3 linked regions of the Lonchura striata genome follow. The protein of the gene in region 1 purifies or fractionates together with the protein of each later gene. This does not show direct contact. Links are inferred from orthologs where the notes say so. Each region holds a gene or a part of one and is shown on either strand. Other genes may lie near its edges.

What was found.
Region 2: the proteins of POLR2B (region 1) and GPN1 purify together in Homo sapiens (affinity purification with mass spectrometry; 4 studies listed by BioGRID and IntAct, with this or other methods). This does not show direct contact. The link is inferred for Lonchura striata from reciprocal best matches to the Homo sapiens genes POLR2B and GPN1.
Region 3: the proteins of POLR2B (region 1) and INTS6 purify together in Homo sapiens (affinity purification with mass spectrometry; 3 studies listed by BioGRID and IntAct, with this or other methods). This does not show direct contact. The link is inferred for Lonchura striata from reciprocal best matches to the Homo sapiens genes POLR2B and INTS6.

Annotation. Positions count from the first base shown.
Region 1 is NC_134606.1:58,663,263-58,667,005, forward strand, and holds the start of POLR2B (DNA-directed RNA polymerase II subunit RPB2), read right to left. Parts: upstream 2,256-3,743; 5' UTR 2,195-2,255; coding exon 2,176-2,194; intron 1,996-2,175; coding exon 1,923-1,995; intron 1,099-1,922; coding exon 948-1,098; intron 1-947. Other genes in the region: NOA1 (nitric oxide-associated protein 1), read left to right, coding at 2,335-3,268. UniProt on the Homo sapiens protein: Catalytic core component of RNA polymerase II (Pol II), a DNA-dependent RNA polymerase which synthesizes mRNA precursors and many functional non-coding RNAs using the four ribonucleoside triphosphates as substrates.
Region 2 is NC_134605.1:113,918,934-113,922,676, reverse strand, and holds the start of GPN1 (GPN-loop GTPase 1), read right to left. Parts: upstream 2,418-3,743; 5' UTR 2,396-2,417; coding exon 2,300-2,395; intron 2,163-2,299; coding exon 2,069-2,162; intron 1,336-2,068; coding exon 1,296-1,335; intron 73-1,295; coding exon 6-72; intron 1-5. Other genes in the region: ZNF512 (zinc finger protein 512), read left to right, coding at 2,642-2,668. UniProt on the Homo sapiens protein: Small GTPase required for proper nuclear import of RNA polymerase II (RNAPII). May act at an RNAP assembly step prior to nuclear import.
Region 3 is NC_134604.1:63,358,579-63,362,321, forward strand, and holds the start of INTS6 (integrator complex subunit 6), read right to left. Parts: upstream 2,910-3,743; 5' UTR 2,857-2,909; intron 2,794-2,856; exon of another isoform or gene 2,546-2,793; 5' UTR 2,496-2,545; coding exon 2,385-2,495; intron 2,150-2,384; coding exon 2,072-2,149; intron 1,354-2,071; coding exon 1,204-1,353; intron 1-1,203. UniProt on the Homo sapiens protein: Component of the integrator complex, a multiprotein complex that terminates RNA polymerase II (Pol II) transcription in the promoter-proximal region of genes.

The DNA of each region.
Region 1 (3,743 bases):
GAGATTGCCTGCAAGTGACTCTGAGGAAAAAACAGGTTTTCTTTTTCTCATCTCTAAACCTATTCCCAAAAACTTGCAAATCATAAATGAGAATAAGACACTACTTGAGAAAGTAAATTAATAGCATTCGGGCAAAAAGAAGCCCAGCACAAACCATACTTTTGATTTGAACAGAGACCAAGCACAGCACAAACATCAGCTGCAGAACTGCACAAATACAGAATTCTGCCATAATATACACAGAATAACAGAGAAAATATTAAGAATTAGTGAGCTAAATGTTTATGAACCATTTGCCTAGCAAAGAAACCAAAAGACATCTCACTTATTCTCTACAGGACAGTTGTTTGCTGGCAAAAAATGCCAAGGAACAGGAAAACCATGTAATAAAATCAACGCTCTGGTGTCCTAGAGTTCATTTAAATCCCTGTAGGGAAGCATCAAGGTAGTGACTAACAGCAAGGCAATGGCTCATCACCATCTGCACTTATGGAACAGGGATCAGACTACACCAGGGATACAGGTGAAAGCACCAGAGCCACTGCAGAAGGTGCACACTCATTGTAGAGGAGCACACTCATCATGGGGTGCAGAATAGAGACAATCTCTATTGTCATAGTTCCAAGGGAAGAACATGAACAACAGCACGCTTTGAAAACCCGGACCTAACCTGAGTCAAAGCTAAAGAGAAGTTTTCAGCTATAAGCCTTGCCACAGTAAAGCTGCTTAAAACCAAAATCTCACCAAAACACAGCTTGCTCTTGGCTACCTGACCTGCTCTAGTAAATCTCTGTCCATGCAGTTTTGCAGAGGAACTGACAATATGAGCTACAGCAGCCACTTGGTCATTTCTCAGCTCAAACAGCAGGACAGGAGTTGAACAGAATTGATGTCAAATGACTTTGAATTGTAAAAACACATAATCTCTGCCAAGGTTCTTCACTTACTGGCTCTTCCACTTCTCCTGAGGCATGCTGGGCTTCAGCTTGTAAATCAATTGGTGGAGCATCTTCAACAATTCTCTGCACAGACATCTGAATAAACTCATCAAAGGAATCCAACTGTTGCCTGACTAAACCCTTTTCATCAAAATAGGAGCTAAAAAAATTAAAAAAAACCAGGTTAATAAGAAATCTTAATTTAATTAATATACTTCACACACCAACAAACTTAAAACATATTTATAACCAAAACTCCACAAGCCATGAGATATAGTACAGAATCAACCATATTTACTTAACCCAAGGCATTCAAACACAGATGCTCCTCACAAATGTTTAATAATTCCCTCCCTGCCTGAAGACACAGACACTTTGGAGTGACAAGACTTGCTGCCACCTCTTAGCTAAGCCACAACTGCATGCACGGTGAGTGCCTCAAAATTCCCTTAAATTGGAAGAGAAACGTGATGACAAACCTCACTGAAAGGGCTCCAGGTCAAGTTTTCAGTAACACTATGAATTACTTTGCTTCAACTAATTTTCCTAGCTGCAGTAGACTAGGAGGATGCCCCCAATTCCAAGTAATAGTACTCAACTTTTAACTTGGATTCCCTGTGTTCCAGCCACACAGGTTCTGGATGCTCACATTTTGCTAGAAAAAATGGTGAAAATACCCCTGTACTGATTTCCTAATGCCAGCAACAACAGTGAGATTAATGGGCAAAACCACGTGCTTGATATGGAACCAAAACCACCCCTTTCTTCACTGAAAAACGCGTGTGCTGGGGGTCAGAATTTCTCAATCCCAGCCGACAGCCTTTTGTTTCTACCAAAAGCCCTCCTGCTCTGAAGGTGCTGCAACACAGTTTAGCGTAACCAAACCGCAGCTCCCAGGCGTGTTCCCGGGAGCTAGCTGGATGTCCCTGCAGACCGAGAGCACAGCTTTTGGCGGGGTAAGGACAGCAAGTTCTAGCAGGTCACCTAATAACAATCCAGCAGGCTTCTTGCCACAGGTCGGGCGTGATCTCATCATCGTCCTCATCATATTGCATATCTGCGGGCAAGTACAAGGTGTGAGTTAGGCTCCGACCGCCGCCGTGTCCCCCCCGCGCCTGGCTCGGGGAGAGGCACCGCATCTCCCATCTCCGGGCTCCCGCGGACACCGGCTCCATCCCTGGGAGGGCCGGGCGGGAGGGAAAGAAGAGGAGAAGGAAAAGGGAAACAAACCCCTCACCTTCGTCCGCGTCGTACATGGTGGCGGCGGGAGCGGCGGAGCGAGGGGCGGGCGCGGGCCGGTGGCGGCGGCGGCGGGACGGCGGCTGCGCGACCCGTGACGTCACGTCGCGTCTCCCGCGAGGCGCCCGCGCGCCCCGCGACGTCAGGCAGCCCCGCCATGCTGCGCCTGGGCCCCGCGCGGCTGTTCCGCCTTGCCCGCCTGGCTCCGCTCCGCGCCCCGCTGCGGCCGTGCGGGGCGGCGGCGACGGGCCACGGCACGGAGCAGGAGCGCTTCGTCTTCCTCGAGTACGAGCGGGACCCGGCTGAGAGGGCGCCGCGCCAGGAGTGGGAGCTGAAGCCGCGGCGGGAGCGGCGGGCGCGGCGCGCAGTGGCAGTGGCGATGCCGAGCCTGTCGGACCCGTCGGTGCCGCCGAGCGGCGTGAGCTGCTCGGGCTGCGGGGCCGAGCTGCAATGCGGGGACGGCGGCGCGCCGGGCTTCGTGCCGGCCGAGAGGTACCGCAACCTGCTGTGCGAGGGCCCCGCGGCACTGCGCGGCGCCGTGTGCCGGCGGTGCTGGGCGCTGGCGCACGGCGGCGGCGCCCCGGCGCTGCAGCTGCCGCCCGCCGAGCACCGCCGCGTGCTGAGCAACGCCCTGCGCCGCCCGCGGCGCCACGGCCGCGGGCCGCTGCTGCTGTACGTGCTCGACGTGACGGAGCTGCCCGATCCCGTGCTGCCGCAGCTGCCGGCGCTGCTGAGCCCCGATGTGCCCGCCGCCGGCGTGCTGGTGGTGGGCAACAAAGTGGACCTGCTGCCCGCAGACCGCCGCGGGCACCTGGGGCGGCTGCGGCAGCGGGTGGCGGCGGCCTGTGCCCGGGCCGGGCTGCGGGGAGCCGCGCTGGTGGACATCCGCCTGGTCAGCGCCAAGACCGGCTACGGCATGGAGGGGCTGGTCAGCCGGCTGCAGCGCTCCTGGAAGTGCGCCGGCGATGTCTACCTGCTGGGCGCCACCAACTCGGGCAAGTCTACGCTCTTCAACACCCTGCTGCGCTCCGACTACTGCAAGTCCCGCGCCCCCGACATCATCGACAGGGCCACCGTGTCCTCGTGGCCAGGTCAGGGCACTGCTCGGCCCTTTGTAGCCCGGGTAATGGGGAATGCGGGGTGTGCAGAAAAAAGCGAGATATGTGCCTCTAGGCTGCTCTTGGCCACCCCTGCGGCAGGAGAACCTGTCACCAAAGCAGTACCTCCATGGTGGGCAGCAAGCTCCAGAAGTGTGCCGTGCTTCACATTATTACCTGGGAGGAGTGGCTGAAGTGTTTAACACAAAGAAAAGGAGGTTTGGGAGATGTTACCACTCCCTGCATCTACCCAGAGGAAGTTGTAGCTAGGTGGGAGGCAGTCTCTTCTCCGAGGCAGCCAGTGGCAGAAGAGGACATAGTCTTAAGATGCACTAGGGCAGCTTGAGGTTGGACATTAGCAGGAATTTCTTCACCAAAAGGGTGATTAGACATTAGAATGGATTGCCAAGGGAGATGATGGAGTCACTGTGCCTGAATGTGGCACTCAGTGCCATGGTCTAGTCAATGT
Region 2 (3,743 bases), on another chromosome or scaffold:
CGTACCTGGTCAAATCTTGTAGCAAAGAGATTGAGAGAGGTCACTATTCCGCCGTTTGGGCCCAGCCCATATCTGATGCTTCATTTAGGAAAGCAAATGGTTACGCAGACCCCAGAGGTCATCTTTGTCAGCTCTGACTACAGATGCACTCTGGATATCTTGAGATCAAGGGACAACAGCCGCGATACACGATTAATACACGTCTATAAAGTCATTCAGCAGGCTAACAAATCCACTCTTACCCAAACACATGCAATTGGCAGAAGGAAGAGGGGCTACGTGGCTTCTTCTTGCTATTTGTGCTTTAACTGCACAAGAACCAGCACTGACTCATAACACACAGTTTTCTCTATCACCACTCTCAATATCCAAACATCCTCCTCAAGCTCTTATTAACAAGGCACAGACACTCCAGTAATGGCTAACATATGCAGTGAAGCAAATAATGCACTTACATATTAATTTGAAACTTATATTTAGGATTTTCTGCTGGTAACCCCAAATCAAACAACAGCCAAAATCAAGAATCCCCCATCACCTTTATTCTTGTCTAAAATATTAAATTTAAGAGTCATACTTGCAAGTTAAAACCAAAGACTATGTATTGCCTCATCTGCACAAGCTATTACATAAGCGACCAAAGACCTCCACAGCCCTCAGGAAGTGCAGCCACTTTAGCATAATGTTACTGCACTACAGTCAGCAACACTGTGAGTGAGAGCAAACACTCCCATGTCTCTGAGATTCAGAGAGACAACAATGCTTTGATTATGGCCAAATGGAGAAATAGTTTGCTTCATCAGGCAAGTAGGAATTTTCATTCCTTGCCTAGAGGCAAGTAGGAATTTTCATTGTCATGGTTATGACAAATAAAATTAGACTAGATAAAACATGGGGAAAAGGCTGCCGGCTTAAAAAAAAAAAAAAAAAAAAAAAAAAGCAAAACAAAACCAACCAACCAAAACCAAAACAGAAAAACAAACAACCCCCTCCCTCAAAAAACCCACCATAAAAGACCAGAAAAAAAAAAAACTATTTATTGCTTGTAAAAATTTACTGTTAGGCAAAATCATTTTTAGCACAGGAGATCAGCTAAGTGCCAAATCTCGTAGAACACACATTCCTAATATCACATGCAAGAAATACACAATCAAAACCTCTTGATCTTCATGCAACACTCTGCATTGCTGCGATCCCACCCACTTCCTGCCCCTTCACCACAGTGTTCACGCAACAGATTATTTTCAAAAACTTAAAATTTCAAATATCATTATTCAGACAAAAAAAAAGGATACTGTTTCATGACTTCTTTGTACTTCACAGTGTCCCTGATATCTGGGGGAGAAAGGCATACAAACAGTTTTCTAACCCCCAGCTGGCCACCATTCAGCTAACAAAGCACATCTCCCAATCTGTCTTACTAGAGATCCAGCACTGGAACAGACACTCCAGTCATTCCTCTGACAGCAGTGAAACAACTTGTGAACCCACACTGTCTTTCTTATCCTTTGGAAAGGTTGGCTGCCATCCTTCACAGAGGGTAAGAGACAGGATTCTCACAAAACTAGGGACTGGTACGCTCTTTGGAACAGCTAAACCTAAATCTGTTCTAGTGCTAAAATGTTTTCTTTAAAATTCGTGTCTTTTAAAGTGCTTTAAAGCTCTTTGTTGATAGCATATTTGTATGGGGGGAACCAAATCAAATCTGCTAATCCTTTCATTACTGATAAAAAACAGCCTCCAGAACTCAAATACCACCAATCACATCAGAAGACATAAAAAGGTACAGATGCATTGGATGAATGGCTTTGGTTCTAAAAATAGTCATATTAACCACTATTTAAAGCAAATACCTATAACTTTAAAAAATAGTCCTTTTTTTATTAGAGCTTGGGCTCTTTTAAGGGAACACAAGCAGCCCAGCTTCTATTCTCTCACGTATTCGCTCCCGCGGAACACATGGAAAGCACACTCCGCGACCCGGCTGGGTCTCTGTTGAAGGCCCTGTTTCCTACTGCGGACCCCAGGCCGCTCCTTCGGCCCGGGCCCGCCGTCCCGCAGCACTTACCGATGTTGGCGGGGAAGGGCAGGCTGTGCACGGCAGGGTCCAGGTTGATCACGTACGGGGGGCAGCGCTGCCCGTGCAGGTGGGCGGCCAGGCGCTGCGGAGACACGGGAATGCGTCAGCCCCGCTGGACACAGGGAGCCCCAGGGGCACGGGCAGCCCCACTGGGCACGGGCAGCCCCGGGGGCAGCCGGCGACTCCCCACGGCCCCTCGCGACTCCCGCAGCCTCTCACCTGCACGAAGGTGGTTTTTCCGGAGCCGGCCATACCCAGCACTAGTACACACACCGGGGCAGCGGCCACGACCGTTCCTCCCGCCGCCGCTGCCATATTCCCAGAGCTCACTTGTCCTTCCGGGGCGGGGGGCGGCCGCAGCGCCGACGTGACACGCCCGGACCCGGTTGTGGCCCCGCTGCCGCCTGGGACGCTCCGCGGGCCCGCGCGGCCTTCTGGCGCTGCTCGACCCCGGGCGCGCCACGACAGCCGCAGCGCGGCGGGGCTGGAGGGGCCGGCCGGGAGCGGCGGCCGGGACTGCGCGGGCGGGCGCGGCGCTGACGTGGCGGCGGCACCGGCACCATGCGGGGCGGTAGTGGCGGCGGCTCGGTGAGTGCTCGCAGTCTTTTCACCGATGCCACCGGCGGCTGCCCCGGAGAGTCTAGCTGGTCCGCGGTCATCGCGAGATGGGTTCCGACGTCGGGATCGCGGGAGCGAGCCGGCTTCCCCGGGCCGCCGGCGGGGCTGTGCGGCCTGGCCCGGCGCGGTGAGCGGCCCTGAGCGGGCGGCGAGCAGGCTCGCTTCGGGCTCCCGGGGAGCTGCGCGGGAACCGTCCCGCTCCGCCCGAAGGCCAGGCCGTCCCCCGAGGCCTCGGGCCTGGCCCGGTTCGGTTCGGCCCGGAGCCGGGCAGGACGCCTGAGCGGGGCGCTGCTGGCGCCGGGGTGCGCTTTGTCCGGGATGCTGTAGTTGTTGGTAGATGTGCGGGTAGGAACGGGAACGCGGGGCTGGAACAGGGAGTTCCCCACAGGATCCAGAGCCTCCCGCTCCTCGCGGGGACAGTCGGGCCCGCAGGATGCCCGGTGTCCCTGCTGGCATCTTCATCACTCCAGCTTCTGTACCAGCTCCTCATCTCAGGGGGCTTCGGTGCTGTGCTTCTGCACTGTCTTGCTGAGCTGGATGCTGTCTCTAGCCCGTGTTCCAGCTCCAGCAGCAGACGTGTTCCGTCTCATCAGAATGGGCCGCAGTCCACGGGCAGACAGAATTCACCACTCCCGATTTTTTCAGGCTCTGGGCTGCTGTTTGACTTCTTCTCACCTGTGCAAGGAAGGTGACTTTTCTGTTTTCCTTGTGTCCAGCCGTTGGGCATTCCTGCATACATTAGGTCTCTGTTTTTTAAGTAGGAAGTAAAGTGTATAAAGGAAAAAAAAACCACAGAACTTAAGCACCAGTTTCTGTAGATGTTTCCTTTATAATTGCTGTTATTAACTTCTCAGTAAGTAAAGCCTGACAGATCGTTTTCACTCTCCTTTTTTATTACAGATCCTTAACTACTACCAGAGTTTTTCATAGTAATCCTCACTCTTAACGCAAATTTTTTTAGTTATGAAAACCCCATGAATCTTGATACACACACCATGTTTGTAATTTCAGTTCTTCTAATTGTAGATTAAGCCAGTGAATTGCA
Region 3 (3,743 bases), on another chromosome or scaffold:
GCAGTAATAAACACTACTAGTGAGTCAAAATAATCATGACAACTCAACTGCCCACTTGAGTAGCTGAGCACAGCTGGTTCACTTAGAGCAAATTATTTGACATAGGTTTAATTAGAGTAATTATCAGTAGCAATGGGAAAAAGCAGTATTTTGTGTAGGGACCTACATGGGTTAAGTGTTCAAGAAAGATTAATAAAGCACTTGTAGCTAAAGGAAAACACCAGAAAAATGGGAAAATTACACACAGATGTATAAAGACATCAGATGGTCACAGGAAAAAATCCCATGTGTGGAACTAGCCCTTTTTCAAAGTTTCATCACTGAACAGGCATTTTAAAAGTGCTTAGGCTCACTTGATCATCTCATGGTAAAGCCATATAATGCAGCATGACAAATTTCCTTCATAAACACATGTGGTATGTTATGATAAATCCTGCTTAGACCGGACATAGTGGGGGAAAAACGGGGACTTGTGTTCACAGCCACATTCCCATCTCAAATACCAAAAGCAGAACTAAGTATTAATCCTCAGATAGTGGACAAAGAATTACATGAGAATAACAAACAAAAAAGAGAGATTCAAGTTGGTATGCCCCACATGAAAAGTACTAGTAACATCCTTCATGTGAAACAAATCCAGGCTTGGATCCAGCAACAGAAAGAACTCTGTATGAGTCCTAAGGCATATGTTTAAACTATAATGTCTGTATTTTAGCAGCTCATGAGCATGAGAATGCTCACACCAAACAACTCCGGTTTTAAAGGGATAGCTGCAACAGCGAGATTTAAAAAGCACAGCTTCTTGAGGCTCTGATACAACAGGCAGGTTTATAAAAATACACATATGCAGAGAAATGTTGTGGTAAACTCACTGGAAAGACAGTGTTTTGAAAAAGTGCTCCTTCCAGTACTTTTGGATATGCAGTGTTGTTAGAAAAAAGGCTCATCTCCCAAACTGTTCAGCACTGTATAGAGAAAGCAAAGTTTTCATAACCCTATCAGGCTTACCAGCTAAGGTACTGAACACACTCAATAAAAAAAGGAAAAATTTGAACTGAAAAGGTCAACTTGGAGGCTATATCACACTAAAAAGCTGGCCTCATATGGAATATTCCATGAATATGCCACTTTGGACAACTAGCTAATTGCTGTCTCTGGGAAGTTTGGTTTTAAGATTTTTCCACCTAGTAACAGTCAACCTACCTGCCCATAGTTGTCTATGCCAGTTACTAATCTATTTAAGTTTAATAAATCAAAAGCTGTCCTTAGGGACTGGCCAAGAGTCGTAAGCCCTTCAGCTTGAAGGTTTTTCAGTTCATTCATAAACGTTGCATGGTTTTCCTTCCAGCCAGCCTGCAAAGAGAAACGTGAAAAGATTTATTCCACAGATAGAAGTTTTGCTTTCTTGTTAGGCTACAAAGAGCCTTCCCTGCTGCATGCAGCTCACTACAAATGATAACAAAACACCTCAGAAGTTAGTAGTATTTGATGTTGCTCCAAAAAAGCCTAAAATGATGCATTTCTCTTAATCCTCAGAACTCCCATTTACCAAAGGCGCATTTTCACTTTGTTCCACAGGACAGTTCTCTGAGGACACCGGTGCCCAAACCTTAGAGTTATATACATCACCTTCCCAGAGCCCTGCCCAGATGGAAGCCAACTGCGCTGTGAAGCGACCTCCAACAGGTTCACCGTCCTGTGTCATGTGGACCCACCGCCCCCTTCCCCCGCGTCGCCCCCGCCCTGCCGCGGCGGGGCCAGGGAAGTGCCGTCCCCTTCCGAGTCCGGGGCTCTCAGGGCTGAAGTCGGTCGTTCTCCCGGCTCGCCCCTTCCAAGCCGAACTCTCCTTGGAGTTGCTGTCACTTCTCCCAACTTGAATACATATCCCCCACAGTTCATTGCTGCTCGCACACACCGCACAGGGGAAAAGCGTCGGCCATGTTGATGTCAGCGCCGCCGCCGGAGCCCGTGTGTGCCGCGCTCCCCCGGACCGCCGGCAGCCGCGGCGAGGCGGGCGCGGGGCGGACGGGCCGGAAGGAGGCCGGGGAGCAGGGGGGTGAGCGGGGGTTACCTTGATAGCGTAGGGAGGCTCCTCGAAAGTGACCAGCATGTACCTGTCTCCCCTGCTGGCCGGGTCCCGGGCTCGGAGCTGCGGCGCGGGGGACAAAGCAGAGGGTGAGCCGAGAGGCGGCGCCGCCGCCGGAGCCCCCCGGCTCGGCCCGGCCCTCCTCTCCCTCCCGCACTCACACGCACTCGCTCGCTCCCGCCCTCGCCCCGCGCCCCCGGCCCAGGCAGCCCCCCGCTCCCTGCCGCCCCCTCCCCTCCCCGCGCAGCCACTCTCGCTCGCTTTCTCTCGCCTCCTCTCGCAAGGCAGAGCCCGGTACCTTCATGAAAGTCTCTACAGCGCCTTTGGCTATGTCCAGATAGGTGGTGCCCAGATGGGTGCGCTGGTTCATGGAGGCGGACGTGTCTATCAGGAAGAGTAAGATGGGCATAGTGCGGAGGGGCCGGCGGCCGGACGGCTACATGGACAGCGGGCGGGGGGCTGAGGGGAGAACCGTCAGGGGAGGCGAGGGGAAGGAGGGGAGAGAGAGAAGACGGGGGACGGGAGAGGAGTAAGTGGCTGTGAGTGCTGTGCACGGGGAAGGGCGCCTCCCCGCTGCCCCTCTGCCGAGGCGGGGGGGAAGGGGGGGCAGCCCTGCCTGCCCTGCCCTCCTTTGTGTGAGGGGCCTGCTCAGCCCAACACAGGCTGGTTTATGAGGGAGAGGCGGATAGGGCTGCGCTGCTGGCTAACCTTCCCCCCACCACCACCTTCCTCCTCCACCGCCCGCCCTCCCCTCCCCCTGTTGATGTTACTCAGAAGTTTCAGGCGGAGCAGCCGCAGCCCCGCTACCCCAGCACTTTCTCGCTCTGACTGAGGCGCTTCCTCGCTCGCCTCCCGCTTTTAAGGCAGCCTGGGTAGGTCGGCCCCGCCCCCAAGGACACGTCCCCGTCCCACGTGACTGTCTCCCAGCTCCACCATAGGGACCCTGTAGCCGCTCATTAGCATATTCAAATCGGAGGGGCGGGGCGGCCGCAGCCGGCGGGGGCGCGCAGGCGCAGCCGCGGGCGGGGGGGCGGCCGGGGGACACGGGGCAGGGCGCGCTGGTGCGCGGCCCCGTGGGTGCGCTGCGGGCGCCGGGCATGCGGAGGGGCAGCGCGGGAGGGACCCGCGGGGAGAGGGATCTGACGCCGCCGCCCCTCTCGCTGAGCTATTTCGAGGGCTGCGGGGTGACGCGTCCCTCGGGAGCAGCGCCCTGCCCGACCCGCCCGCTCGGGGAGGGCGGGGGTGTCCCCCGGGGAGCGCCGGGGCGGTAACTCCGGCGCTGGCGGCTTGTCGCCGCCGGGAACGGCGGGTGAGTCACGGGGGTGGGAAGGAAGGAGGGAGGGGAGAGGGCGGGCACCGCCCCCCGCCCCGTCTCCGGGCGCCGCCGGTCTCCTTGGGGCTGCGGCAGGTCCCCGGCTGCCCCCGCCGCGGGTGCTGCCCCTGGGCGGGACGGGGCAGTGCCTTGGGGCTCCGGGACAGCGGGGCAGCAGCCGGGTGCTCGGCAGTGCCTCCGGTCCGCGGAGCCCCGCCGGCGCCGCGGGAGCGGGGGATCGCTCCTCAAGGGAACTTCGGCTCCTGGCAGACAGCACGGGGGTCGCCTGGCTTGTCCACTGGGTTTAGGGTGGAGAAGACGGTCTGGTACCATTTAGATGATGAA